Linked DNA regions of Lonchura striata. The protein of the gene in region 2 interacts with the protein of the main gene of each other region in a pairwise test. Links are inferred from orthologs where the notes say so. Each region holds a gene or a part of one and is shown on either strand. Other genes may lie near its edges.

Evidence for each region.
Region 1: the proteins of GLRX3 (region 2) and MOXD1 interact in binary tests that used the Homo sapiens proteins (3 or more experiments, as listed by UniProt). The link is inferred for Lonchura striata from reciprocal best matches to the Homo sapiens genes GLRX3 and MOXD1.
Region 3: the proteins of GLRX3 (region 2) and TRIM36 interact in binary tests that used the Homo sapiens proteins (3 or more experiments, as listed by UniProt). The two-hybrid records come from large-scale screens. The link is inferred for Lonchura striata from reciprocal best matches to the Homo sapiens genes GLRX3 and TRIM36.
Region 4: the proteins of GLRX3 (region 2) and MAP3K3 interact in a two-hybrid assay, tested with the Homo sapiens proteins (2 studies listed by BioGRID and IntAct). The link is inferred for Lonchura striata from reciprocal best matches to the Homo sapiens genes GLRX3 and MAP3K3.

Annotation. Positions count from the first base shown.
Region 1 is NC_134605.1:59,392,141-59,400,030, reverse strand, and holds the start of MOXD1 (DBH-like monooxygenase protein 1), read right to left. Parts: upstream 3,136-7,890; 5' UTR 2,909-3,135; coding exon 2,624-2,908; exon of another isoform or gene 2,165-2,623; intron 1-2,164.
Region 2 is NC_134609.1:31,596,627-31,604,044, reverse strand, and holds the start of GLRX3 (glutaredoxin-3), read right to left. Parts: upstream 3,102-7,418; 5' UTR 3,049-3,101; coding exon 2,981-3,048; intron 1-2,980. UniProt on the Homo sapiens protein: Together with BOLA2, acts as a cytosolic iron-sulfur (Fe-S) cluster assembly factor that facilitates [2Fe-2S] cluster insertion into a subset of cytosolic proteins.
Region 3 is NC_134642.1:60,471,326-60,478,969, forward strand, and holds the start of TRIM36 (E3 ubiquitin-protein ligase TRIM36), read right to left. Parts: upstream 3,019-7,644; 5' UTR 2,941-3,018; coding exon 2,848-2,940; intron 1-2,847. UniProt on the Homo sapiens protein: E3 ubiquitin-protein ligase which mediates ubiquitination and subsequent proteasomal degradation of target proteins. Involved in chromosome segregation and cell cycle regulation. May play a role in the acrosome reaction and fertilization.
Region 4 is NC_134627.1:8,990,420-8,997,901, forward strand, and holds the start of MAP3K3 (mitogen-activated protein kinase kinase kinase 3), read right to left. Parts: upstream 3,080-7,482; 5' UTR 2,958-3,079; coding exon 2,954-2,957; intron 1-2,953. UniProt on the Homo sapiens protein: Component of a protein kinase signal transduction cascade. Mediates activation of the NF-kappa-B, AP1 and DDIT3 transcriptional regulators.

The DNA.
Region 1 (7,890 bases), on a different chromosome or scaffold from region 2:
GGTGTGCATATTTCATGGAGTTCAGCTAGGCATAAAACCACATACTTTCAAGGGTGCTATCTATGAAAAAATCTTTTTCAGTAGTAAATAATCTAAATTATGATGGTATACACCTAACACAGAATGTATTTTTAAAATATTAACTGTATTTATTTGTCTAGTAAAGGGAAGAATTGGATATTATTGAAACAACATCCTAGAACAATTTGTTCATTTTCTAGCAATCCCTGCTGCCTGACCAGAAAAAGCCTGTGGACAAATTTTGTTTATCATCTTTGTTTCTGGCTATTCCTTGTTGGTGCAAGTATGGAAAAATTTTAACTGAGCAACTTTTAAAAAACCTCGGTTCAGTTTTGAAAGAAACCATGCTACCTAGAATTGAAAAAGGAATGGGGATGGAGCAAGCCTCAAGTGGCAAGAAAGAGTACCAAAAATATTTCTTACCTACTCAAAAGCGCAACAAAATAACTCATAGCTCTTAGCATAACAATTTATGTGCTAAATTAGTGTTTCAGGAAAAATACCAGTAGGCTTCTATGGGCAGGCATTTGCTACAGTCTTTTTCTAATTGTAACAGAATGTTGGTGAACAAAACCTGTGGAAGAACAGAGTTAGCATGGGGCCATTTTTAAGGATGTTGAAAATCTGTGAAGGGTGCTGAAAGAGCCACAAAAGTGCTTCAAGTGGTGGGGAAAACGTCCTGTGATGCTAAAGAGTTCAATCTATTTATTTAACAAAAAAGAAAATGGAGCAGTGACTTGATTGTCTCGATTGCAGCATATAAATAACTTTATGAAGGCGGTATGCAGGGGGAGTAGAGCTTTTAATATTGTAGAGAAAATACATAGCTGAAAGCTAAGTCAAGACAAACTAATCCTGGCAATCAGGAACAGCAGAGACTTCTTATTGACACAAACTATCAAGGGAAGTGATGGATCATCCACCATTGGATGTCTTTACACTAGATTTGGATGCCTCTCAAAAAGACTTTTTTTACCCTAACAGGATCTGTGAACAAACCAGAAAAAAAAAGCTGGGGTTTCTTTTAATGGTTAATAGGTGTGTCTTCTGAATTGCAAAGCTTTTCAGAAAGCCTTTCATTCTGTGAGTGAAGAGCTCACTGCTGAATGAGCAGCCTAGAGTGGGTTTTTTTACTATTATTAGTCTTTTATTTATGCTTCAAGAAAAATTATCTTCATTTTGAAATATGGAGAAAGCAATATTCTGAAAATCACTGGTCCGCACTTAACGAAGACAAATATTTGCCTAAACTTCATACAGCAAATGAATGGAGGAAAGAAAAAGCAAAAGAAAATTTTAAAGGAAAACATTAATACTAAAAGATCGATTTTTCTGGAAAATTTTTGATTTTATAAAACCTTGACAAATAGTAGGGAGATCATATTATGCATTTTGTTTTCTTATGGTGAATTGTTATTCACTGAAAATTGAAAATCCATATTCTTATGGGAAAACCTCTTAAAATTTAAGCAGCAGCTTCAAAGATCAACTAGCTCTAACATAATGAAGACGGATGACTTCTCCTAGACCATACTCTAACAACCACTCTGCTCTTAAACTGCATCTCTGAGTTATTATTCAAGCACCTGGGGGTGACAACATGTCATTCCAGGCCTGATTGCCCTTTCGGTCACCAGTGAGACAAGCTGTCCCTGCTCCCCCCGTCCCAGAGCACCTCCTGCCAGCTGGATCTCAGGTTGATGAGAGGGGCTAAAGGTGTGGGCACCCTCCCCTCTCATGGCTCCTACTCCACCAGCCACCAGTGCCTCTGGGAGAGGATGACTTGCTGTAAGCACCAGCAAGGCCTCTGTTCCACACTCCTGTTCCCAGATGTAGCCCTGACAATATCTAGACTACTACAGAAACATCCCAAGAAAATTATACCCAATAGACCCGGGCAACCTCTGAGGTTGCTCCACCAGACCAAGGACATGTACCAGGAGTCCTCCCAGTGGTTACTATGTAAGTCCTTTCCAATATCTGGGTTAAAACACTTTCAGGTGAGGAGAGGAGGAACACCAAGAACAAGAGCAGCACCGGCTGTGTGCAGCAGAAGGGGACCTCAACAGGCTTGGAAGCTGGCGGGATGTTGCCCTCATGCCGCCGGGATTAGAAAGAGCAGGCTCAGGCGGCAGCAGGACGGCCAAGCTCCATCAGCTGTCGGCAGGGCGAGGAGGGGAAAGGTGCCACACCTCCCTGGGAGAGATTATGCCCTCCCATCCCTTTCCTCAGCGGGTTTAGGCTCAGCGGGCAGGCAGGAGAGAGTGCCCAAAGGAGAGAGAATAGGACTATCACATCTTCTGGATAAAGAGCAAAGAAATCTGACACCTCTAACGAAGTCTATGTAGAAGTTTAGAGAGAAGGTTGGCAAGGAGAGGATAGAAAAGAAGTATCTCCTCCAGGGGAAAGGAACGCAGAAGAATAGGGGTAACCCGAAGGGTGGAAGGAAGAAGTAAAGAGGTACGGGGATGCAGGGCAAGAAAGCTGCAGAAGAAACGTGAGGCAGGGAAAGGAGGGCGTCCCGACAGAAGGACAGCGCGGGGAAGGTGGGCGGACGAGGAGGACCCGGCTCGGCGGTCGAGGGGAAGGAGCAGGGCCTTACCTGCAGGTAGGGCTGGCCCCTCTCCACGCCCCCCACCACGATGTCGGCTGAGGCCATGCTGCCGCTGGCCGAGAGCCCGAAGCCCACGTAGCCGCGGGTGCGCACCTCCAGGCGGAGGGCGAGGGCGCTGCCGCGGCGGCCCCAGCGCAGGCGGTAGGCGCCCGCGCCGTCCAGCACCGCGCTGTGCGGGTAGCTCCGCATTGCCGCCCCGGCCCCGGCCCCGGCCCCGGCCCAGGCACACAGGAGCCCGCCCAGCACCAGCGCCCAGGGGCGCAGCCGCCGCATCCTCTCGCCGCGCACCAGCGGCCGCCTGTGCGTCTCGGCGTGTGCCCGGGCGCGGTGTGCGTGTGCGGGGGATGTGTGTCTGTGTCTGTGTGTCTGTGCGTGCGTGTGTGTGTGTGTGGGGAAGGGGGGCCGGGTGCCCCGGTCACCCCGCCCCCGCTGCGGGCGGCACCGCGCCGGCCCCGTCGGGGCAGCACGCCCTCGGCAGCGCTTTGTTCGCTCCCGCCCCGGCCCGGCGCTGCGGCCGCCCCGGCTCCCCCGCGCCGCCCGTCGGGGCCGCCGGACCCCGCCGCGCCGGGAGCACCTGCCGGGCGCTCGCCGCGGGGGTGAGCGCCGAGATGCTCCGAGTTCGCGTTAGCCGCCCGAAACCCCCCTCCTGACCGGGGAACCCGAAGGAGAGCGGTGGACGGGAGACCTCCCCGGCTTCCCGGCAACTCTTAACTCCGCTGGAAAAACTCCACGGGAGGAAGCCCGGAGGCAAACGAGCGCTTCCCCGCTCTCAGCCGCCTCTCCACTTAGTGCGAGCGCACGGTGCGGCGGACGGATGGAGCTAAGCAGGAGATCCCCCGTCGGGAGAGTTCTTTTTGCATTTTAAGTGGAAAACGAGGACGTCCCGAGGGGTTTGCAGTGAGACGGCTGCAAAAGCACATCTCAAAACCCCACGTCCCTTGACACCCCGGCCAGCCCGGCCATGCGGTCCCCGGCACTCCCGCAGCAGCAGCTGCCTTCCCTTCCCCTGCTCACAGCACCACCGCCGCGGCGGGGGCGAGAACAACGAGCAGAAAGATGCTTTTGGAGGAATGTTCCCCAGCCCTCTGCAAATCTGGATGGAAACAAAAAATAGCGTGGCAACCAAAACGGGGAAGTTAGGGACCACAAAACATCACATTGACCCTTGAAAACTCTAAGCTGTATGAAATAGGTTTTAAAAGGAAGTTATGCTATTTGAAATGTGTTTTCTTTGCATATAAATGAAAGAGAAAGAGCATGGTACTCAACCAAAATGGCATATTAATTCAGTAAAAACCAATCAAATTAGTACATAAAGGAAATTAATAATTCTTCCTTTTTTTCTTTTTTTTTTTTTTTTGGCATTTGCATGACAATATTTCACAAGTGTCACTGGGATTTCCAAAATGCAACCACCCACTGTGGTGTGAGGGCTGTATCAAACTACAAAACAACTTCTAGAAAAGAAAATGCTTATAAAAGGATAAGCACCAAAAATTACTTTCACCCAAGGCAACCATAAGCAACCCAACCCATAAGCAATTAGAGAAAATAAATAATTAAATACTGGTGAAATGAAAGCAATCTTTAGAGGGAATAGTTTAGTCGACCATTCTTGAAATTATAGCAGTAACTTCAAAGGTACAGACTCAAATTACTGACAAAACAGAAAATTGTGAGATGCTGAGTGTTTAGATTCTCTTCAAAATCGTTAACACCTGCAAGTGGATATGGATTAATTTAAGGAGAAATTGCAGGTGTGTGATAGGCCCTGTCAAGGCCAAGGATGTGACCTTGGCACCTAATTGGGGGCACTCAGCCTTTGTGAAGTTGTGTGCTAAAGGGGGGCTCCTTAGGATAGTTCCAAAAGTGCTTATTTATCTTTTCTGATGGCAAGGATGATGAAGGAATAAAGAGTGTTTCTTAAATTTAGTTTTTTCTTAATTTTCTAATAAGACTGTGCATTATGTTCTTAGGTGACAGAAACCTCTAAAGTTTCAGTTACATGGAGATTATAAATTTACCCTTCAAAACAATGATTGAATTACACATCTAGTACAAAATTGCTGCCTTTAAAGCACAACGGTGGTACCGAAGTCCAACTAGTGTTTCCCAGAGCATGCATTGTATAAGCACTTGTACAAAAGAGTGCAAAATGCTCACTTTGAAGTACTTCAGCATGTCTCAGTTTGGTTAGGGTGGTGTTGATGACATTTTAGGAGCCTGTACACAGCATGGGATGCTGTTGTTACTGAGATGGATGATGGACTATCCTACACAGCATGCTGTGCTGCACAGCCACAGAAATAGGATTTCCCAGCTAGTCTGGATGCCTTGAGGGAAGCAAAGCTGGAGATAGGTGTGCACTGCAGAGGCTGTCAGAGGAACAGCTGCACACCCCTCAGATGACCCTGCCCCCCGCGTGTCCAACCCCCTGCTCCTCTGTCTCTCCAACACACACAACCTTGTGATTGACTGGCATCTTCATTCTGCCAAAAGACAAAGCAGCAGGACCATCTAGTGCTTTGGACACACTGCAGTATGTCAGGCAAGACAAGCCAGAGTTTTGTTGTAGTGGGTCTGGTAGAAGAGGTAACACTCAGGGGAAACAGTTGTGCTATTTCTGGTGAGCTGCAGTGGCTGTGGAGGGTGGACAGTTCCACCCAGCCCATCATGGGAGCCCTGTGCTGGCAGAGCCAGTGGCTCAGGCATCCCTATTCCATGCCTCTGGAGCTACCACCAAATTGCTCCTGAGCTTTGCTTTGCCTATGTGGAGAAAATTGGCATTTTGGAGGCTGAGAGTTGGAACGGAAACAATACTTGAATTCTTGAAATCTCCTATGGGACTATATGATTTTGTCTGTGCAGAGCTCAAGGGTCAGTCTGCTGCTTTTCTGCAGCTCTGAAGCCTGTGCATCCCAAATCCTTGTAACTTTCTACCAGAACTTGGGGGCGATGTTATCCTGTCTTCCAGCAATACACCACACTCTGCAGCACTGCTCACCCCATCATGATGACAACATTTAGACCAGTAGAAGTGGAGGAATAGCAGTTCTATTGCTTTCCAATTTCCAGCAAATATTTTTCCATTAAAATAAATCATCCAGTTTTACAGAGCTGCACACTTGATCTACAAATACTGTGACAAAACCAACCTTTTTCAACTTGCTGCTATTTATAATCCCAAGAACAATACTAATGTAATAAAACTTTCCTAGTAGAAGAGGCACTTTGTGGGTAGGGCTGCACAATTCCCAAAACTCACATTAAAAGACTTTGGAAACTTCACCAGAAATTTTTTGCATCATTAGGAGAGCAAACACATGAAGAAAACACAGTCTAAATCATTCTAAATCTGATCTTGGCCTATAAGTAATGCTGCTGGAAGGAGCACAGAGAGACATCAGGTTACCACCTTCTCTGAACTGAACCTCCTCTTCCAGAGGAAGGCAGTCACCTAAACCCAGAGAGATTAAGTAAGTGTTTTTCTTCTTTAAAAACTCTTACTACCATTACTAAATATCAGCTTGTCCATTACTCAAATCATTGCATGACATGGTTCATATACTGAAGTACTGATTAAAAAGTCGCAGAATCATAGAATGGTCTATGTTAAAGATTGGCTAATTCTAATTTCCCTGCCATGGCCAGGCACACCTTCCATGAAACCAGGTTGCTCAAAGCCCCGTCCAACCTGGCCTTGAACACATCCAAGGATGGTCCATCCAAAGCTTCTCTGGGCAAGCTTTTCCAGTGCCTCACCATCCTCACAGGGAAGAATTTTTTCCTAATACTTAACCTAAACCTACTCTTTCATATTGAAGCCATTCTCCCTTGTCCTGTCACTAAGGATCACTGTAAGAGGTCTCTCTTTTTTTGCCTTGTAGGCTCCCTTGAGGTACTGGTAGGCCAAAATCAGGTTATCCCTAAGATATCTCTTCTCTAGGCTGAACAATCCCAATTCTCTCAGCTTTTTTTCTCATAGGAGAGGCTCTCCCTCCCTTGAATCAGCTTGGTGGCCTGCTCTGGACTTACTCAAACAGATTGATGTCCTTTTTGTGCTGAGGATCCCAGAGCTGGATGCAGCTCTCCAGGTGGGGTCTCACCAGAGCAGACAGAAGGAAGGAATCCCCTCCCTCACCCTGCTGGCCACGCTGCTTTTGAGACAGCCCAGGATACAACTGGATTTCTGGGCTGTGAGTGCACATTGCTGGGTCATGTCCAGCCTCTCACCCACCAGCACCCTCAAGTCCTTCCCGGCAGGGCAGCTCTCTGTCTGTTCATTCCCCAAACTGTGGTGATACCTGGCGCTGCCTCAAGCCAGAAACAGCATCCTGCACTTGGAATTGTTAAACCACATAAGATTCCCCTCAACCCACTTAAACTTGCCCAGATCCCTCCAGATGACATCCTGTTTTTCAGGTGTGTTCTACTCTACAGTTCCTTAATGAGTCAATTAATTATGAAGATTTGGCCTGATCACGGGTAGTGACCAAACACCTGGTTTATCCCTGATGCTGTATCCTGGCATTGAGGTGCTCTTGCTAGACAGCAGCCCAGCAAGAGGTGTGTGACCTGTCCCTTTGCAGGCAGCAGGATTTCTCAAAGGCATAAAAAGGTTTGGTTTCAACCTATTTCTAATGTACCCTGTGGCATGCTTTGAGCTGGCTTTTCTCTTATGCAATTTAGCTTCCATGCAGGAAATTTATTACTATTGAACATTGATTTTATACTGATAATTAATATGAAGTCTTATAAAAAATTTTTGTAAAGTAGATAGCCAATAGCTACATCATCTTTCTAATAGAAGAATTCTGCTCTCATCTGTGAAATGTAAATTAATCACCTTTTATTTACCTTTTTAATGTATTTTATCATTGGAATGACCTCCATGAATCCAGATTTTGATATCAATGCAATGCAAAATGGTTAGTGAAGCACCTTGCAGACCCAGCTGGGAGCTTTTACAGTGGGGTAATGCCTATGCAGAATAAAACCAGCTTCACTGACAATCCAGTTTGTTTTCAATGTGGATAGAGAACTGAAAGCAGGAAAGGTTTTGGGTTTAACTGGATGTTGTCTTTGGAATGCTGAGCCAGCAGGATGGGTTCCTAGGGAACATTACTGCCAGCACAGGCAGAAGGAGTTAGAAAACTTTTCTATCTTGATCCAAGTCCATTGGTTCAAGAAGAGCAAGGGGGACACATTCCACCCATGCTTCTGTCAGCGTCAAACATTTCCTCAGGCACATATGA
Region 2 (7,418 bases):
ATATTTTATATATTTTATAGAAATACTTTACGTATTTTATTCCTAAATGATGGAAATTCATTGTAACAGCTGCATGGGCAGCACAATGTCGCTGCTGGAGCAGTTCCTGTGACCTGATCACACACCCTGGATGCTTTCACAAACTTGGTTTTCCAGTGAAATTCTACAAAATTCTGGCAGAAAAACAACACAACTTCTCTTTTTTTCCCCCTAATCCTCAGTTTAAGTCTGTGCCCACAGCAGGACACACCTGGGCCCAGGGATGGACCTCAGGACAGAGGACAAATCATCACAGGATTATTTCATCCTCTTCCCACCAGAGTCTGGTCGTTCCTTAACAACATCCAGCTGCAATATATTCATTTTTATATTCAGGAAGAACATATTTTAAATTCATTTGCACGAGGGGTTGGTTTTGGAGTTGTTTTGGTTTTGTGTTTTTAAAATTCATTCACAGAACAATTCAGATTTTGCAACTGAACTGCTGGCTGAGCACTTCAATTTCACCTTAAAAAAAACAGAGTACTTGAAAACATTAAGAAAGATAAAAAATAAAGACTTAGCAAAATGAAGCGTTTAAGTAATTCTAAACAAAGTGTTCCCTGCATTCACTCAAGGTTAAAAAAAAAGAGCTTCACTATTAAACAGGGCAGGGACAAAAAGGTTATGACAAATGCCCAATTTTCTCTTTAAATATCAAGATTTACAGTGATTCTACAACACAAACTTACTGATAACTCAATGCAAGAAATGATAATTTTCTGAAACAAGAAATCCTGTGAAACTCATATGTAATTACAAATGCTGTTTTCAGAGGAAGGTTTATCAGGACTATCAGTTCACCTTAAGTCCAAGAACATGGATAAAATAATCAACTCCTTCAGAGAGAAAACCAAATTATGTTCTGTGACAAAGGCAATGAGAAAATTACTGGTGGGTCTTTTTTAGATAACCCTAAAATATTGTGTTTGTTCCTGAAGCCATTTTCCTTTGGGCACATGAGTTTCTTCTGCAATAAACCCACAAAATAACCCAGCTGAAGGACAATTCCAGGAGGAAAAGTCCTGCTGCAAGTCTGGAAGAAATTCTGTTCCTTTTTCCCAGCACCATCATTTAACAGCATTTCCTTCTGCTGTCTCTAAGAACTGATGCTGCTATTCCACCACTCTTTCAATCACCTGTAAGTCTGTAATTGCAGAGCTGCTTACTGCAGCTCTTCCCTCCCAAAGTTAAAGATGTGCATGGAATATGGAATAAAAGCAGTGGGATTGCTCAGGACAGGCTGGATGGGGCTGGAGCAGCCTGGCATGGTGCAGGGTGTCCCTGGATGGGTTTGCAGGTCCCAGAGCGGGCTGGGATTGTGGAAAAGCAGAGCCCTGCCATTAATCACAGAGCACAAATCCAGATTAATGAGAACCTGGCAGGAGATGAATAATTCAGGGCCACTTCTGTGTCAGAGAACACCCGAATGTTGCTGCTCCCACTGAAGTGCCACTGCTGTTCCCACTGAAATTTCCCTGCTGTCCCCAGTGAAGTGTCACTGCTGTTCCCACTGAAATTTCCCTGCCGTTCCCACTGAAATTTCCCTGCTGTTCCCACTGAAATTTCCCTGCTGCTCCCACTGAAATTTCCCTGCTGTTCCCACTGAAATTTCCCTGCTGCTCCCACTGAAATTTCCCTGCTGTTCCCACAGAAATTTCACTGCTGTTCCCACTGAAGTGTCACTGCCGTTCCCACTGAAATTTCCCTGCTGTTCCCACTGCAGTGTCCTGGTGGTTTTGGTGACACCTTCTGTGGCTGGAGGCCAATCCCAGCTGGCAGGGCAGCTCTGGTTTATAGGATTTTCCAGCCGACTTGGCCCCAAATTCCCTGCGGCAGGAGCTGCTGCAGGGCGGCACCTCCGCCTGCTGAGCCAGGGGAACAGGGAGCTGGGAAAGTCCGAGCCTAAACCCGAGACTAAATCCAGCCTAAACCCAAGACAAAGCCCGGCCAGAACCTGGCCTAAGACAGGCCAGAACCCGGCCTAAGCCCGAGACAAAGCCCGGCCAGAACCCGGCCAAAGCCAGGCCAGAACTCGGCCTAAGCCCGAGACAAAGCCCGGCCAGAACCCGGCCAAAGCCAGGCCAGAACCCGGCCTAAGCCCGGCCAGAACCCGGCCAGAACCCGGCCTAAGCCCAGCCAGAACCCGGCCAAAGCCCGGCCAGAACCCGGCCAAAGCCCGGCCTAAGCCAGGCCAGAACCCGGCCAGAACCCGGCCTAAGCCCGGCCAGAACCCGGCCTAAGCCCGGCCAAAGCCCAGCCAGAACCCGGCCTAAGCCCGGCCAGAACCCGGCCAAAGCCCGGCCTAAGCCAGGCCAGAACCCAGCCCAAGCCCGGCCTTTGCGCAGTTTGGGGCTCGGTTTTTCTCCATTTGGGTTTTTTTTCTCTTCCCCTCGCAGATTTCCCAGAGCGCTGCGGCAGCACCGGCCCCTGCCGAGCTGTGCCCTGCGGGGAGCCGGGAGGGGACACCGGGATGGGACACCGGGATGGGGACACCGGGATGGGACACCGGGATGGGGACACCGGGATGGGGACACCGGGATGGGGACAGCGGGATGGGACCCAAAGAGGGGACACCGGGATGGGACACCGGGATGGGACACCGGGATTGGGACACCGGGATTGGGACAGCGGGATGGGGACAGCGGGATGGGGACACCGGGATGGGACCCAAAGAGGGGACACCGGGATCGGGACAGCGGGATGGGGACAGCGGGATCGGGACACCGGGATGGGACACCGGGATGGGACACCGGGATGGGACACCGGGATGGGACACCGGGATGGCACCGAGGGACGGGACCCAAAGAGGGGACACCGGAAGGCGGAACCCGGGATGGCAATGAGGGAGGTGACACCGGGATGGCGCCGCGGGCCGGCAGAGCGGGCCGGGAGCGCCGGCAGGGCGCACAGGAGGGCGAGCCCCGCGGTGTCCCCTCACCTGTCCGGGCAGTGCAGCAGCTTGTGGAACTGCTCGGCCGAGCCCGCGGCCGCCACCGCGCCCGCCATGGCCGGGCCGAGCCTGCGACACGTGAGCGCCTGGGCGGGGCACCGCCGGTCACGTGGCGCCGCCCGCGTCACGTGCGTCCGCTCGCGCGCTTCCGCCCGCCTCACGTGTGCTCCCCGCGTCACGTGTGCGCAGTGTCACGTGTACGCCGTGTTACGTGCGCCTCCCGTGTCCCTGTCCCCGTGTCCCCCGTGTCCCCCAGTCCCTGTCCCCTGTGTCCCCATGTCCCTGTCCCCCGTGTCCCTGTCCCCGTGTCCCTGTCCCCCAGTCCCTGTCCCCGTGTCCCCGTGTCCCCTGTGTCCCTGTCCCCTGTGTCCCCGTGTCCCTGTCCCCATGTCCCTGTCCCCTGTGTCCCCATGTCCCTGTCCCCTGTGTCCCCATGTCCCTGTCCCCATGTCTCTGTCCCCGTGTCCCTGTCCCCGTGTCCCTGTCCCCATGTCCCTGTCCCCCAGTCCCTGGCCCTGTGTCCCTGTCCCTGTCCCCATGTCCCTGTCCTGATGTCCCTGTCCCCATGTCCCTGTCCCCATGTCCCTGTCCCCTGTGTCCCCTGTCCCCATGTCCCTGTCCCCTAGTCCCTGTCCCCGTGTCCCCTGTCCCCATGTCCGTGTCCCCCTGTCCCTGTCCCCGTGTCCCTGTCACATTCGGTGGCAGGGCACCCGGGGCTGTTGTCGGGGTGAAACGAGGTTCTCGCCCCTGGAGCCCAGAAACCCAGAACCAGCACTGCCCCAGCCATGGGAAGGGAACAGCGAATCTTTATTTTGGCCTGTCCATTAATCCTCCCAATGCACAAAGAGAAAAATGCATCCAAAGCACTCTGATCTCTGTGCTGTTACAAAGAAAGACACAAAAATTCATCCAAAGCACTCTGATCTCTGTGCTGTTACAAAGAAAGACAAAAAAATTCATCCAAAGCACTCTGATCTCTGTGCTGTTACAAAGAAAGACACAAAAATTCATCCAAAGCACTCTGATCTCTGTGCTGTTACAAAGAAAGACACAAAAATTCATCCAAAGCACTCTGTCTGTGCTGTTACAAAGAAAGAGACAGAAATTGTTGGAACTCAAAATGTCCCTCAGACATTTTTGGAGGTTCCAGGCCTTGGTCAGAAGCATTTGAGACCCTGGCAGGCAGCTGCAAACAGCTGTGATTTTGGGTTTGAGCCATGGGATGAGTTACCAACTTTGGAGGTGGAACAAGCAGTCACAAAGGGTTAGATGGGACAGTAAAAGTAGTTACAAAACAGAAGGGAAAATTCTTAGTATTGTACAGGGGGGTTTTAGCACATGTACAAGGGGGTTTTTACTTTGTACAAGGGGGTCAGAAGTTCTAAGATGGAGGAAAGTGGGCTGATCCTGTTCTTCCTCCTTCTTTTTCCTCACCTCCATGTTCTTGGTGATGTTGGCACTCACAGATTGGTTTAGAGTAGAAAAACACTTTGTAATATAGGTAGTAGGTATTGGGGGGAAACTATAAACATGTAATACGTAATATATAATATAAAAGAGAGCAGCAGCCCTGGGCTGGGGGAGAGAAGAAGAAGACAGCAGCCAGAGAGGATGTCAGGGTGTGTGTGTGCCTCTGCCTGAGCTCTGACCAAACCACAGCAGCCCCAGAAGAAAATCTTTGAGATAACTTGCAATAAACTGCCTTGAGACTGAACAACAGAGACTGCTGAGCCTTTCTTTGGGGGCAGGGCTGGAGGAGAGACTTTTCCAGCACACGAGACCCCAGAGCAAGCCGGGGGTCTCACAAGAAATTCATCCAAAGCACTCTGATCTCTGTGCTGTTACAAATTTGGTCATGAAACACCCTGGAATTTCACTGGACAAATTTCATCATTTGACACATTAATCAACAATGTTTTACCTGACTTCTCAAAAAGCAAAATAAATGCAAAATAAACTATTAATATCTCCATTTATTCTCTTTTCTTACAGGCTAAAATTGAAAACAAATAAAAAGATATAAAACTACACATTATCCCTAAATACATTCTAGTTGATATAAATTGTGTGAGTGGAGAAAAAAAAGTCTAATTCTATTTATTTTCTCTGACATTTTAACCTGAAACCCACTGGAATAGGCAGAAATTCCAGCCTTTAGGAAAAGCACGTTTGGGATTTTATCCCATTTTGCTGATTTTCAGAGCTTTTACAAATTATTGTTCATCTCACACAAAAGAAGGAAAAAACGTGGGGGTTTGTTTTCCCCCCCATAAAATATTTGTTTTGAAGGAAATAATTTTGTTTAAATCCTGAATTCTTGTGCTACCAATAGGATTGCCCAATTTTGGATTCCAGCTCATATCAAATAAAATCCCAGGTGGAACAGCAGGGAAAACACGTGGCTGGGGCACCACTCAAGGCCATGAGCGAGGCTGGACCAGGGAATTCCACAAACAAAAACCTGTTTTCCAATGGGAAATCCTTTTTCCCTTGGAGTTCTCCGAAACAGGATTTTGCTGTGGACATTCCCTCAATTGTCCATGGACAATTCCAGCAAATTCCTGCTGCTGCTGCCGCATTCACTTGTGGTTTTGGGATCATTTTTCCCTCTCCCAGTCCCATTCCTGGTGAGCTCCCAGCGAACAGAGGTGAATTTTGGCTGTGAACTTCTGACTATTCCACTGGGCTTCTGTCAGGTTAAAATGTCAGAGAAAATAAATAGAATTAGACTTTCTTTTCTCCACTCACACAATTTATATCAACTAGAATGTATTCAGGGATAATGCGTAGTTTTATATCTTCTTATTTGTTTTCTATTTTACCCTATAGGAAAAGACAATAAATTGAGATAGTTTATTTTGCATTCATTTGCTTTTTTGAGAATTCAGGTAAAACATTGTTGATTAATGTGTCAAATGATGAAATTTATCCAGTGAAATTCCAGGCTGCTTCATGACCAAATTTGTGACAGCACAGAGATCAGAGCGCTTTGGATGAATTTTTGTGTCTTTCTGCAGCAGGAGGGTCTGGGTCCAGACATTATGGGATGGAGACTGAGGCTCCATGCCACGGTTCTGCTCTGGGAATGAGGCAGATGGAACCCCTGGAAATAAATCTCTTCCCTCTGTGGCCGATGTCAGCTCCAGCTCTGCCCCATAAATCAAACCCTGAGCCTTGAGAGAGCTTCCCGAGACCTTTTCCAGCTTCCTGGGGAAGGGAAGGCGAGGATTGCTCCAAATGGATGGGCCCGGGGAGACGGAGAGGAGCTAAATCTGCCTCCCCTCAGGCTGTATTTCTGGGATCCCATATGGAGCCTTGGCAGGAGCCAAGGGAAGCCTCAAGGACTCGGGATGGAGCAGGCAGGGGGGCAAATTAACCTGGCAAGTGCCAGGTTGTTGGAACTCAGAATGTCCCTCAGACATTTTTGGATGTTCTGGGTCCAGGTCAGAAGCATTTGAGACCCTGGCAGGCAGCTGCAAACAGCTGTGATTTTGGGTTTGAGCCATGGAATGAGTTACCAACCTTGCAGGAAGAACAAGGAGTCACAAAAGTTTAGATATTATAGTAGAAGTAGTCACAAAGTAGAGGGAAGAATATTTAATGCTGTACAGGAGGGTTTTGGTTTTGTACATGGGGGTCAGAGGTTTTCAGATGGATTTGGGATTTGGGCCTGTCCTGTCCTGCCTCTTTCTTCTTCCTCACCTCCATGTTCTTGGTGATGCTGGCACTCATGGATTGGTTTAGAGTAGAAAATCACCATTTAATATAGGTAATGGGCATTGTGAAAAACTGTGAACATGTAACACGTAATGTACCATATAAAAGATAGAAAATCACCATTTAATATAGGTAATAGGCATTGGGAAAAAACTGTAACCATGTAACACGTAATGTACCATATAAAAGATAGAAAATCACCATTTAATATAGGTAATAGGCACTGGGGAAAACTGTAAACATGTAACACGTAATGTACCATATAAAAGATAGAAAAGCACCATTTAATATAGGTAATGGGCATTGGGATAAACTGTAACCATGTCACACGTAATGTACCATATAAATATAGAAAAGCACCATTTAATATAGGTAATAGGCATTGGGAAAAACTGTAACCATGTAACACGTAATGTCCCATATAAAAGATAGAAAATCACCATTTAATATAGGTAATAGGCATTGGGGAAAAACTGTAACCATGTAACACGTAATGTACCATATAAAAGATAGAAAATCACCATTTAATATAGGTAATGGGCATTGGGATAAACTGTAACCATGTCACACGTAATGTACCATATAAATATAGAAAAGCACCATTTAATATAGGTAATAGGCATTGGGAAAAACTGTAACCATGTAACACGTAATGTCCCATATAAAAGATAGAAAATCACCATTTAATATAGGTAATAGGCATTGGGGA
Region 3 (7,644 bases), on a different chromosome or scaffold from region 2:
AAGAAGGACTTTCTTTCACATAAGCAAGAAATATGTAAAGCCTTATCTTCTTTAGCATGCATGAGGAACAGAGCTCCAGTTTGGCTGAGTCAGTGAGCCCAGAGCCACCTGCCAGCCACCACAGCCACTAGCAAATGTTGCATTTCTCCTCTCCAGCTCCTTATCGTGATTTCAGTTTGAAACCCTGTATAGCTCTACCTCTTCTTGTCACCTGGACAAAAGCTGAAATGCTACCACAAGAGAATCTTATATTAATCATTACATGAAACCAGGCAGAAGTCAGGTCCAGAAATCAGTGTCACATGCAGGTTGCAGGTAGAGAGCATGCAGAATTAGAAATGCTCTTAAAATAGTTTTTATATATTTCTCATGTTCATATCATATGGGGTTTAGGGCTTGTTTTCAGTAGTGTCTATTTCTCTAAATGCTTCTTCTAGATAATAACTTTTAAAGCTGTTTCTTATAAACCACAAACTATCAGTTTCTGCAAACCATGTGGAGAGCAGGAATAGATGGTAAAACAAAGGGAACAAGTGAGGAAAAAAAAAGAGAGTGATGACCCTGATTAAAAAATAGAGCATGCAAAAATCCTCCTTACTTCAATTGAATAAGGGGTCTCAGGGACAGTGTTGTTAGTTTCCCTCTGAAACTCACATTGGTTTATATCAGCTTATTGATTGTATTCTGCTTACAGAAAATGTTCCAAAAGGCTTTATGGAACAGATGGCAAGTATTGGTATAATTTAGCCCATCAGATATGATTGTTTCTTTATAATATCTAAAAATTCTTTGGGGTTAATACTTCAGGAGAATCATATGCATTTCAAAAGAAGAAAACACACACCTATGAAAGTAAAACAATATAAACTGGAGTTTGGGTGAATAGCTGGGTTAGAAGTGTGTGTGTTTTGACTACTGCAAAAGTAAATAAAAGGAATAATTTGGGGGAGGGGTGGGGAAGAGGCAGGATTGGAAGAAGCCTGAGTTTATCTCTGGAATGATACATCATTTTGAGACAGATGAGTGTCCTTGCTGTGGTTTGAACTGAGATTTCAGAGTTCTGAAAGAAAGTCACACAATCTCCTTCTGCACCAGTGCCTCTGATACAAAATGCAGTTAGTTGTTAATCTGCCTCTCAGGGGTATTTTGGAGCTCTCAGATGCTACTGTGACATTTGTGACAGGTGCCATGGAGGCCCAGAGTATCTCAGAGAGTATTGTAGTGAGCCTAAACAGATGTTGTGGGTATATGGATTACACAAAGAGTGTTTTAATGGAACTAAAAGTGCTACATTTTCTGTTCTAGCATTTCTAGCATTCAAGCATTTTCTGTTCTAGATACTATGTGCAAGTCGCATGTGTGAAGGCGGGTCACAGGACAATAATGAGTACAGATGATTAAAAGAGATAACAGGTTTTTGAAGTGACATTCCCCCGGGGAAAAGTGATATATAATGATTTGCCCTGTTTGAGAGGTCTGACAGAGGTTGGCAGCTAAGTGGAAAAATAGCATGCTTGCCAAGAGGGGTCACGTGCCCAGGGTTGAAGAGCTGATGCATCATACCTGCAGGGACCCTGCATATTCAGAGGTGGGGGAACAAGTGTCTTATTGCATCCTGATCTTCTAATAGGTCTTTGTTCAGTGAAAGCCAGATGCTTAGCAGTTAACTCAAAGAATGTTAATGCTTCCAGGCTTTATTGAAAAAGCTTTGATAGTGGGAAGTGGGAACAGGAAGACTGGAGTGCTGAAACCTCTAAATAGCAATACCCTGACCCAAAGCAAATACAGTTTACCATGCAGAAGAGTCCTTTTGCTGGCATGATTTATGTCATCTGAGAAGGGAGTTTAATTATCCCAGCAGAACACCTCCAAGCTGCTGGATAACATCAATAAATTACAAAGAGGCTGTAATCTAAAGCCCTGGTCTGAAGGTTCAAAAAAGGCAAAAGGAAGATGTGGAGAGCAATAGGTCTCAGAGCGAGAAGCTCAAGCAGTGATCGCCACTATGGGAAGTCTGTGGCAGTCACACAACTGGTGTTGTTCCCCTTTTCTTCATGTACGTCAAATGTCTGTGATGATGGGACTTGGCAATGTCATTGTCTATGTATAAACAACAGCACTGTTTGTAATAAACATGCATATTTCACACTACTGTGCCAACTCTGCTGCCTATCGAGCCATATGCTCTTGCAGAGGGTGTCTGAATTAAGTACGAATTGCTTGACTGTGGGATAAGAGACAGATGTAGCACCCCATTACAGGGACATTCCAGGCACAAGGAGTATATCTGTCCTGAAACACTTCATGATTTTCTTTGGTGTATAAATGGAGAGAACAAGACTGAATTTTCCTTTAAAGTCCTGGCATAATTGTACTCAGGCAAGGAGAAGCAGAAAATCACCCAGGAAGCTCCTCATTCACCTGGTCTAAAGATTCTTCCAGGACATTTAGAAGAGGTAGTGGAGGAGAGGGAGAGGGAGAGGGATGTGCACAAAGAACTGGCTGTGAATGCAGCCTTTGGAGATATGCTGGAAAGCCATCAGGATGAGTCTGGAACAAGCAATATTTCTGACAGCCCTATTGTTTTCCACAATTATTTTTAAGTTTAAAAATATTTTGGCTGTTTCATTTTTTGGGGAAAAAAAAAAAACAAACAAACAAAAAAAAAAAAAAAAAAACAAAACAAAAAAAAAAAAAAAACAAAAAAAAAAACTAAGCCTGAACCTTTGGTGCTCCTTGGTTATCACACATATCAGCAAATCAACAGTACAAAAGTTGGATTTCGTCCTTTTACTTTTTTCTTTTCCCCTAGGAAATGCGCGTGCAAGTTTTCCTCAAAATACTTACCATCTCTGAATCGGTGCCTGGGGAAGACAGTTCTCTCTCCAGCGTTGCCCGCAGCCGGCGGCTAGCAGCAGCAGCCCCCCGGGCAGGGCGCATCCCATTCCCGGCTGGAGCGGGGCATTCCCGCACGGAGCAGGGGTGGGCTGCAAACGCGACAGAGCCCGCCCAGCTGTGCTGGCCTGGGGGACACTTCGCGTGGAAATTATCTTTGAAATTTTCCCCTGATGGCTCGGAAGTGTGTGGCAAGCATTAGTCGAATCTCCAGAATACATTAGTAAAGACGAGTCACTCGTGCCCCCACATTCCCCTGAAAAAGTCCGACAAAGCACTTGCGAAGGGAGCCGTCTCTGCCCGCCCCGCCGTGTCGCGGCGCCGCTCGCCGTCCCTACCTTGTCCCGCTTCAGCAGCTCCAAGATGTAGGCGAACCGGGGGCTGTCCGCGGCTGCCTCCATGGCCCGCTCCAGGCGGGATCACCGCCCCTGCGCTGCCTCCGCCACCGCCGTGCAGCCGCTCCCGCTCCGCTCCCGCTCCCGGTCCCGCTCCCGCTCCGCTCCCGCTCCCGGTCCCGCTCCCGGTCCCGCTCCCGCTCCGGTCCCGCTCCCGCTCCGGTCCCGCTCCGGTCCCGCTCCCGGTCCCGCTCCCGGTCCCGCTCCCGGCGCTCTCCGGGGGCAGGGCCGCCGTGCTGCGACCGATGCTCGGCCCGCCGCCCCGCTCACGGGGCTCGGGATGCTCCTGGGAGCGGCGCACCCCCGAGCATCGTGGCAGGACTGACAGGGAAATTTGCTTGGAGCACCTGGAGGTGCCCGGGAGCACCGCCTCTGCTCAGGCGCCGCGGCCGCGAGAGTGGCTGCCTTAAAGCCGACAGAGTTACACCTGCTGGTGGTCTCATAGAAACGGAGTGATGCTGTGTTAATCACCGAGCCTGTGGGATTGGGCTGGTGCCTGTGCGTGCCCCCCACGGCAACACTCAAGGTGGGCATGCCTCCTTTCAAAGCACAGATTGAAGTGGATGTATGCTGAGGAGTAGCATAATGCATTTGTACCCAGGGTCCATCTGGTTTTCTTAAATTCTAAGCTTTTGTTTAAATTACAAATTGTGTCTAAACAGAGAACACCTACTAATGTGCATAATTGCATATATGATCTCTTTCACGTGTTTGCACTTGATTGCTGATGTGCTTGTGGGGTAACTCAAACATGAGGAAATCTTCCTATCATCTCCTTTTCTTCATCCCAGGCCTGATACAACTTCCAAGGATGAGATGGATACAACATGCCTGTATTACAACTGTGGCAGAAAAACTGGTCCCAGTAACCCAAGTACCCTCCTCTGCTTGATGAGGGCAGCCATCAATTCCACTGAAATGTTCACACCAGGCAGGAAGATCAGTTATCAGGTGAGGCACTGCACAGCCCCCCAGACACAGTGGGCATCGGGGTTCCACAGGACAGCTGGGGAATGGTGTTTGACATGTGGCAGACATCACATTTCTGCTCCATGCCTGTCCCCACTCCATGCCTTATATATACACCTTGCTTCTGGTAGAGGAACTGCAGCCAGCAGTGGCTCATTTCTTCCTGTTCTGGAGTCAAACTTCCCCAAACACAAAGGTCCCAGCTGCCTGCAAGACCTGGGGGAGAAGCACAGGTGAATGGGCAGCTCGCTGCTGTCTCACCAGTCCTCTTCCAAGCTGAGAGGTGGAAGGTGACAAACCCTTCTTACGCTGTAGGTATCAGGTAGCCCGTGGGGCACATCACCCCTGGGTGGTGAAAACACACCAAAGAGTATTTTATAACAGTATAATGTATCCCCTCAGAGGCTGCATTTCCTAAGATATTGATATAGTAGTAATGTTATCTCAAATTCTCTCTATGGGTTACTCACTGAAATAGTATATCCTTCCTTTCTCAGTAAACGGGACTCATGAATAGCTTGAGACTTTTCTGTTACTAGATATTGTACAATTATATATATCAAATTACTCATTATTCAAATAGCTCATTATTATGATATAGACAGGCTTCCAGTGCACCTTTTGCTTTTGTGCAAACAGCCCAATAATAAAAAATGTTCAGTGGCACTGGGGACAGTCAGCTGTCATCACCCACACAGATGAGAAGTCCTCCATATATAATTGAACTCAGCGTGAGATATTTTGCTTCCTGGTTTGATTTCAGCTCACCAAACGGCAGTCACATACGAAACTTTCACTGCTGTAGTTTCTTTGTCTCAGTGTGGAGTGCTGGTAGAGAGCAGGGCTGGCCAAGGCTGGGACAAGGGACTGCCTGAAGGAGTACCTTGCTTGTCCCAAGCTGCTCACGTCCAGCAGCCATCTGCAGGAAACCATGCTGGCAGTGGCCTCAGCGACAGCGGCTCCTGCGTCAAGGAAGGTTGTACCACTGTATCAGTGTGACTCTCCCAATGATAACCAGCACCAAGAGCAAACATACCTTTGACCCTACAGCTCCTTAATGACAGGCTGTGTGAAAAGCCAGGGAATTTACAACCCTTTGTACTCCACAGCACAAGCTGTTCACTCTACTGGAACCCTTTCAGTGGAAGGGCATGCCTGCACCTGAATCTCACTGCAGCTTTGTCATGTCTTGGCTAAGCAACCCCCAACAGCCACCAGCCAAAGTATGTGAGACAAGAATTTCTTCCCATGCATGGATCTGCTCCAAATCAAGAGTTCTGTCTTGTGTTCTTTAGCCACAAACCATGCTAGTATTGTGAACTGCTCTGAATTTCTGGCTGTTGTCTCATGATGGTTTTATTTTTCAGCTGTCAGATTTGGGTTGTGTGTTTTTTTCTCTATTGCTGCCAAACCTTGTAGGTTATGACCAAGGACTTGGACATAGGACAAAAAAGGATGATTCTTTGTTTCACTTCCTTCACCTCCTCATGTCCCACTTCCATAAATTGATAAATGTAAATGTCAATGTAAAGAGATGTAAATGTAGCTTAAGTCATGAAATCAGCCAGGGTAAGAAGGATACAGGAGAAGATGGAAGAAGCTGATGGTTCTTTCATGATCCCTTCCTGGAGTGGTTTTGTTTCAGGATTAGCTGTGTTAGCACTCCAGGTTCAGATGGCTGCCAGTGATAATTAAGCATGAGGAAGCCACAAACCACTTTTGCATTGATTTCACAGCTTCAGCAATGACATCCTCCCAAGCAGCTCTAGCCAGGATGATCCTGGGCACTGCATGACAATGCTTTCTGCCATCAGCCCTGCAGAAAAGTGTTTTTCTTCAAGTCCAGCAAGCCTGAGCAGAGCCCTGTGGACAGTTCAGCGTCATTTACACAAGCTCTCTCCATACATCCAGACTAGCTAGGAATTTGGGACTATCCTTTGCAGAAGATATAGATTCCTGTAGCCATTCTGAGGGCTCCTGTTGACTTCTCCTTGGGTAGCAGACAGTTTTTTCCAGCCTTTGCCTTGAGTGGCAGAAGGCTGACAGGGGAATGTGCACTTGGAAGACTGTAGACAGATGGGAAAGCTTCACATTGCAGCTGGTGGCCCAGGGGCTCTCACCCCTCTTGGTAACTTTATGGCTGTGTTTTACACAACCTTTACTGAGGTGGGCTCTATGTTGAAAACAGCTGGGAGCTCCTCACCTGTTCCACATAAATACAAGATATGAAATTGCTTTTCATAGTTTTCCTTCTTTTGTTTCATGTTTTACATCAGTTCCTTTCTAAGGAACCAGGATGTCTGAAAATCAATTCAAACCTTCTATTGTCATTAAATTATCTAAGAGTGTGTCATATTATGTTAAAGTGAAACATATAGGATCATATTTGTTTTCTGTTACTTAAACTTGAAGCAGATCTCAAAAAAAAAATTATATAAATTATTTGGTATAGTTTTATATCAGTGGAAAAACTGTTCCTGTATTTCAATCCTGAAATGTCATAGAGCACAGGGTTCTGTTGTGGCATGTTAGTACACAAATTAAAATACAAAGGAAATTTGTTTTTCTTGACCTGTGAATTATGTTGATTCTCCCAAGACAATGACAACAGCTCTAGATTTTCTCTTTGATCTCCTTCTCTGTCTTAGTTGGCTTCTAAACTAAATCAGAGCAGTGAAGCTTACTCAGATGCTTTGGTCTTTCTGTTCCCCTAGGACTGTGAGGTATTTTCCCATTTCCATTGCACAGGGAATCCAGTCAAGCACACACCCTCAGCACACATGTCTAGCAACATAGTGAGGTTGTTCTTCTCCTATTGCATTCCTGTAAATACACTTCAACTTGCTGGCCATCATCACCTGAGGAAATCTACTTAAAGGGTGTTTGAAACCAGTTGCAGGTGGTGGTATGTTAAGGGCTAGCACAAATAACTAGGTATAGAGGAGAGAAAGAGTACTTCCATTTTATGTTAAAGATAGTAGAAAACTGTGCTAGAATTCAGCATTAAATGCTTCACTCTCTAATTGTACATGTGAGTAAACATTTGAAATAATGGAAGAAACAACTCTGAAATGTGAGTTTGCATGTCTCTGATAAAGACTGTGACCTGCTTTTATTCTCAGAACAGCCTTCAGAGGCCTGCATCAAGCTTGAGTAATATGAAAGAGAATCCATGTGAATAGTTTATGAATTTTATATGAACTCCTTCCTTCTGCAGGGAGTGATGTAGATGTGAGCTGTCACTGGCAGAAGAAAAATTGCCAGATGAGACCTTATGATGGCTGGAAAGGTGTTGCAAGCTGGACAAATGAGACCAGATTATTTCAAAGAGCAGAGGACTTGCATGCAGACCTACAATAAACTCCATCTCTATAGTTTTTCTAGG
Region 4 (7,482 bases), on a different chromosome or scaffold from region 2:
TTCTACCCCAGTTAGTGCCCTGCAAGGTCTGTATCTTACTCACTGCTGTCATTCTAACACCAAAATATTATTTATCTTCATAATATGGGAACAGTCAATGTTCTAACAAAGGGCATGGAACAACTTCAGGTGAGTTTGAATCTTATTATACCTTTTCTAGTAGTTTTACACTAAGCTATTTGTTCCCTACTACTAAACCATACATCCTGTAATTCACCCCTATGTTGATGAGGTAGGACATGACAGAATATTTATCTCTTAAAAGGATAAAGTCAAACCTGATCTGAGCTTGTGCAGGGAAAAATTGTATCTGGTGAGGACAGCAGAGTGATGGATTCAATGCTGAGAAGTATGAGTACTTCTTTAGTTCCATCCCAACAGAGGATTCTCATAGACAGACTTGGAGCAGCACGTGGAGCAGCATTACATTAATTGCACAATGCAGAAGCTGCTACAAATGAAAATGAAGCAATTTTTGGAGTACTGAGAGACCCTGTTTTGCCTGGTCTCCAGTCGGTCTGGGAAACACAGTTCTGCTTTGTGCGGGAAAGATGTTGTCCAGGAAATGCTTTTCATGTTTTAAAAACTACACTCAAGGATTTTTATAACTTCGATAAAAGCGAACTGCTGCTCACAGAGAAAGTTGTTCCTCTCCACAAAGCATTTACTTCAACCAATCCGTGGTTTATTACACAGGTCTGAACAAGTCAGAAATGGAAACAGTTTAGAAAAAGGAAAAAAATAATCACAAAGTTAGAAGCGCAAAAGTATCTGCATATGTCTGAACCCCCCTTATCTGGATCATGTTTTATATGGTGTCACAGTGGGATACATGATGCCACTTTGGTGTAAAAGAGAAAGTGACCACATCTGTGTATTTGTTATCTACCACCACAACAGCAAAGCTGGTTTGGGCGAGTGATTGGCAGATCCGGGAACAATAAGGAAATTTTAGACAAATTGTGTCTATGTTAAAGGCCTCAAAAAAGCCTTCAAAAGAGTTTCATTTTGAGTCCTTTGCCATGGGCAGTTTTAGTGGTACCAAAATGCTGCTGTGTGCAAGCTTCAGGAAATCCCAAAGGACCTGGCTTGTAGAGTGAGAGAAAAAAACAGAGAGCTCTACGAGGCTTATGCTCGCAGGATGCATTGAGGGTCCCTGTTCCATTCACAGGTCAGGGGAAAGGCCTGGGCTGTGGGGTTTGAGGCTGTCCTGGGCTGTGGGGTTTGAAACTATCCTGAGCTGTGGGGTTTGAAACTATCCTGGGCTGTGGGGTTTGAGGCATTCCTGGGCTGTGGGGTTTGAAACTATCCTGAGCTGTGGGGTTTGAGGCTGTCCTGGGCTGTGGGGTTTGAGGCTGTCCTGGGCTGTGGGGTTTGAGGCTGTCCTGGGCTGTGGGGTTTGAAACTATCCTGGGCTGTGGGGTTTGAGGCTGTCCCGGGCTGTGGGGTTTGAAACTATCCTGGGTGTGGGGTTTGAGGCTGTCCCAGGCTGTGGGGTTTGAAACTATCCTGGGCTGTGGGGTTTGAGGCTGTCCTGGGCTGTGGGGTTTGAGGCTGTCCTGGGCTGTGGGGTTTGAGGCTGTCCTGGTCTGTGGGGTTTGAGGCTGTCCTGCCCACGGGCTCAGCCACGCTCCCTCCGCACTGTCGCTGGGTGAGCCAAGGGAAGGAAGTGACACAGGCAGGAAAAGCCAGCGGAGCAGGGAAGGCTGCAGGGAGCAGGGCCTGCGCCCCCAAACCCGCAGAGCTCACCCCGCACAGCTCAGGGCCGCAGATCCCCCTTCTCCAGCCTGCCAAGGAGTGTCCAGAGGGAAACAAACCCCAGGAACCGCTCCAGGTGAGTGGCTGAACCACTGGAGCTCCTGCAAACTCTGCCACCAATCACCCCACGCGTCCTTCAGGTGGGTTATGGAACCAGATTATGGTGGAACGGTCCATGAAATTGTATTTTTTCATTCTGCCCTCACATGTTTACAAACACAGGTCCAATTGCTATTGGAAGACACTTTCATGGAAATCCAAGTTCCTACTTCTAAACCATTTTAATATAGAAGGACCCTGCTACTCTAAACAGAGTGCATTACACTATTCCTCTTTGTAGCAGAGAAATCTAGTGATGGATTTGCATGAATTTGTTGTATTTACAAATCAAAACAGAGTAAAGAGATATTGAAGTAGTTGTAGAATAACATTTGCAACGCTTTTTGAATTTAAAGTATAAAAGCTAATTATGCATACAGACTAAATGAAGGAGAGTCTCAGAAAACTAAACTTGGTTGTTGGGAAGAAACGTTTAAGTTGTAGCCCATGAAACCATGAAACTCCAGACTTAGAAAAGCAGGAATTTCCTTGCCAATAAGCAAGTATAAGTTAAGTTCTGGTTTAGAGCAATCAAAAGTTTAATTCTAGCACCTCTCTTTAAGCTGAAAAAGAAATTAGGAAGCACAAGACCCCCTCCCTAAGCAGTTCTTTATACAGGACATACACTTCAAATCCAAATTAATTTTACTTAATCAATCAAATTCAGTCATGGCAGCTCCTCATAAGAACTTTTTCCTCTTGAAAAAGAGTTCTTCCAACTCCGTTGCTTGTTTTTACATGTGGCCGTCTGGGCTAAGAATGGCAAATGAGAACTCGGGGGGGGTTCCATAAAGGCAAATCTTTCGCGATGGACTCCCAAGCTGCACGTAACACTAGAAATGTCTCCAAGTCAGCCTGAGCACACCTCCCGTCCCGTAAGAGCCGCGTCGGGAGCGGAGAGCCCCGCGCTCGGCGGGGCACCGCACCTTCGGCAAGACCCGACTTTTGCCACTTCGGCCAAATCCTAGCAAATGCACCGCTCCCCCCCGGCGGCGCCCGGAGCGGGGCCCGGCCGAGCCCCGCGCCCCGTCCCGCCCGCAGCGGCCCCGGCCCGTGACGCGGCCCCGGCCCCCGGGGCTTCTCCGCCGCTGCTCACCCATGTCCGCGGGCGGCGGCCCCGCTCGCGGCGGGCGCTGCGGAACGGCGCTGTCACCGCCGCGGCTCCATGGCGGCCGGGCCGAGGGGAGGGCTCACAGCCGCCGCCGCCGCCACATTCCCAGGCCCCGCGCCGCCGCCTGCTGCCGGCGGCCGCGCTCCGGGAGCGGCGGGCGGGCGCTGCGGTGCGGCCCGGTGCCCGGTGCGGCCCGGAGCCCGGTGCGGCCCGGTGCTGCCCGGTGCCCGGTCCGTGCGGGCCGGCCGCGCCGCCGCCGCCCGCAAAACAAACCGCTCGGCGGCCGCCGCGCACCCGCCGCCTCCTGCCAATCACAGCGGCACCCGCCGCCGCCCGCCAATCAGCGCCGACGCGGCGCCCGCCCGACGGCGCTGCTGGCCAATGGGCGCGCGAGCAGCCGCGCCGCCCGCCCCGCCTCCCCGCGGAGCCGGCTGTCAATCACGGGGTCCGACGCGCCGCGGCGGAGCCACGCCCCCCGGCCGTCAGGAGGCGGGGCCTCACAGACCACGCCCCCCACGCGGCTGTCAGTCAGAGTGACGGACGGCGGCGCGGCTCCGCCCACGGGGGCCGAAAGGAAAAATGGAATTTTGTTCTGCCCGTGCTGCACCTGCACTGAAACACCTCTGCGAACCAGGCCGCAGGGCTAACGAGAATAAATGTTCTCTTAAAATTAACTAATAAATTATAATTAAAAAGTCATCCTGGACTGCGTCTGATGCAACTACCGGGTAACTGTTCACACAGCACAGTGTGCTGTCATCATGTAGCCTAAGCCAGGAATTCTCTGAATCGTGAATGTTTTGGCTTGGAAGGGACCTTAAAGATCATCTCGTTCTCCCCTCTGCCACAGGCTGTGTTTAAATGAATCAAATCTTTTAAAGCAACCCCCAGCCTGCCCCCTCCCAGCTTGTGTCTGTCCCACCTGCAGGATGGAATTTTCAGTGTCCTTCCCACGAAGGAACGGCAGAAGGGGTTTGTTGTTTTGAAAAGAAGCCCAACCCGACTCCCTGTTGTGGTCAGGGCCGCCCTGCTGCTGGGAAACCCACCTGGAGCAGATGTTTCAGCTGCTGCTTCTCAATCTGCCAAACGCCTGGCAGGGCTCTGCTCACAAACGGCACAGCAGCAATGTCAAAGGGGTCACGGAACCCGGAGAAGAAAACTAGGCTGGAAAGGGAAATTGCTCAAAAGTGTGATCAAGTGCAGGAATCTGAACCTACACATCAGGAGGAATTTGGGACTTAGTCAAAACATGACAACATTATCTGTAATGTAATTTAAAATTTTTATTTATTTTCACTGTCGAAGTAGTAAAAAGCTCTTAGAGTATCATACCAGGTAGACACGGAAATAGGAAAAGGGATCCACAGACACAGCCACTTTCCCTTCTTAATACAAGCCTTGTATTTGTGGTATCAAGCTGGTAGCTTTTTGTCCCTGTTCCAGTTTGAATTTCTCTCTCATTCAACAGCATCATTATTGATCTTGGAACCACTTTTTGACATGCTGTTTCACAGCTTCATGATGGCTTATCACTATCTTTTATCAACCACTAAATCTCAGTTTCCTTTCCTTACTAATTTCCAATAAAATACTCTTGGTATCCTCCACAGTCTCCTCCTTGTCCCTAAATTCACATCCTTGCACTCTCTGCTGCCACATTTAATCTCATCTCTATTTCTCACTCTTCAGTCATCCAATCTCCAAGATACTCAGTTCCCTCATATTACTGAAGCCTCCCACTTTTGTTCATCACCAAATTTGATTTTAATGCTGGCTCTTTGTGCCAGGATCATTATAAAAAGGCTTTTCTAAGAGAGGGAAGAGCCCACCCATACCCCGGGAGGCAGAAATTTAGTATCAATTCCCCACTGCACCAGCCCTGATTTTAAACCAGTCCATCATCACCTCACCATTTGCTATTTTTGCCTAGCTTGGCCTGCTAAATGAGAATGATTCCATGTCCTTTGTGCAGAAACTTGCTTTCCCAAGTCCAAAAGATAGTAGAGTGGCAAGTGGCAGCTTGTGACAGGAGCCAGAAGCTCCTGGCAGATGGGAGAAGACACACTCTGGTGGAACTCGCTCTTCCCACCTCCAACTGCCCAGGGCATCTGCATTTCACTGAAGCTTCCCCGCATCTTTTACCAAATTGAAAATAGAATGATTTGTCCTTAACAGCTCATCACTTCACCCACCTGTCAAGCCTAATGTGTAAACTAACAATTTTATTTCTTGATTTGTGGTTTCCCCATTTTACAGACATTCTCGCATCACTATCTACATGCAAGTGCCATCAGGACTTTTTTTGACCACTACAGACCCTCACACCTTTTTTTTTCCCCTCACCAAGCTGCTAAATCTTTCCTGAACTGGAATCCAAATTTCTACCAGAATCAGCGCCCCTTTTTTGTGTAACTTGAGAAAAAAAAATAATTCCTTTCTGACTTTTACTGTGTACTTAATACTGTACTGGTTTTGTGCATAATCACAGAACCCCAGAAGGGTTTGGGTTGGAACGGGCCTTAAAGACCCCCCAGTGCCACCCTGGCATGGCAGGGACACCTTCCACTGTCCCAGGCTGCTCCAAGCCCCATCCAGCCTGGCCTTGTGCACTGCCAGGGATCCAGGGGCTGCTCTGGGCAACTGTGCCAGGGCCTGCCCACCCCCACAGAGAGGAAATATCCCATTGAATCCTTCTCTCTATCAGTCTGAACCCAGTTCTTTTTGTCCTGCCATTGCAGTTCCTGATGAGGATCAGGTTGTTTTACAGTAGTTGATATTCCGTGGTTTTCCACCTGAATTGTCCACATCCTTCCAAAGCTGCAGCTTTCAGCAGAGAAGCTTCACTCCTGTAAACAGCACCTGCAGAACACACTTAATTCTTGAATTTATTCAGATTGTCTGATGCCATTTAATATAAAACCATCAGTAAAGATATTCACAAAGACTCTCCAGTCTGTGACTCTGTGTTCCCAGTCAGCCCATTTGTTTTAAAAGAACTTTATAAGGCCTAATAGTTCAATGCTGTCACACAGCATCAACTAAGAAAAGGAAGTGCAATCCCTATTTTAGGGACTTAAGGGCATTGTACAGAAAGTCAGCGACTTGTTAGAAGTTACACAGGAAATCTGGAGTAGACCTTTGGGGCATTTTCTGAAGCATACCTGACTCAAAGAGCCCCTTTTCCTTGCTATCAGATGTGCTGTTTCTTCTTTCCTTCCTGCTTCCCTTCTTGTTTAGGTAGACACATCCTTCCTGGGGAGCTGAGCAGGCTCCAGGCTGAGCCTGCTTGTCCCATGCCAAAACTTCCTTATTCTACATCTTGGACTCCACAGCCACAGAAGGGAGCAAGGAGGAGAAACTCTGTAAACAGAACTGGAGAATCCTTCAATGGTTTGGGTTGGAAGGACCTTAAAGCCCATCCATGCCACCCCCTGCCACGGCAGGGACATCTTTCACTGTCCCCAGGTTGCTCCAAGCCCTGTCCAGCCTGGCCTGGGACACTGCCAGGGATGAGGGATCCGATCTTCAAAGGATGCAAGAAAGGGTCTTGCACTGTTTTCAGCAGATGTAAGAGTAATCTCATTAATCCCAGGCAGTTCTTGTCTCTCCTAAAAGTTTCTTGTTGTGTTCTCAGCTTTGAAAACAAAGAGGATGGAACACCATCACCATTACCCAGCTGTAGGACAGCATGGCAGGATATATATGGGCCCAGATGCATCTCCCCCCCCAGCAGAGACATGAATCACCTGGAACTCCTGTAAAACGCCTGCAGCAGCCGTTCTCGGCCGGGAGAAGCAGGTGTGCCCCGGAGCTTCCTGCTGCCACGGCTGGGCCTGGCTGCCAGCAGCATTCCAGCAGAGGGGGCTCTGAAGCTGCTTAAAAACCAGAAGCTGCTCTGCCTTTGGAATGGCAAAATCAGAGAAGGAAGGGGAGGAAGAACGTTAAAAATATTATATGCTTTTAGATCATTACTTCCTCTGAGCTGACAGTCTGGACTGTTTCTAAAACAGCACGAGTGAAAAAGCTCTAAATTAAATGCTTCTCCCAGTCACAGGCCCCAGAATAATCTCAGAGATCACTTTTTTTCTACAGCTATTGCTGTGCATTGTGTTACCACGGAGGGCTTCTTTCAAGTATTTTCGAGCCCTTTACTGATTACTGATTAATTATGTGCTTGCCACTTACAGCTTGTTTACCAGAGCAGGGACTTTCCCACGGTCACAGAGCAAGACAGCTGTGCCAGATGTTGGTTGTTCCATAATATTTGTCTTTTTCCACCTACGTTCCTCTACATCATTTTATGGCACTTGTTTTGCCACACTGACAGGCAACCTGCTTCACCCATTATCCACCAGTCCACCACTTTTTGCTCTGCTCCAATTTGCACAAGCTACCTCCTTCCACCATAGTGGCAGGTGAGAAAGTTTCTCTGGAGTATTCCAAAACACAAATCCAGGGACAAAAATAATCTGTGAGGATGCAAATACATTTCTAGGGTGAAAGACAAACACTTC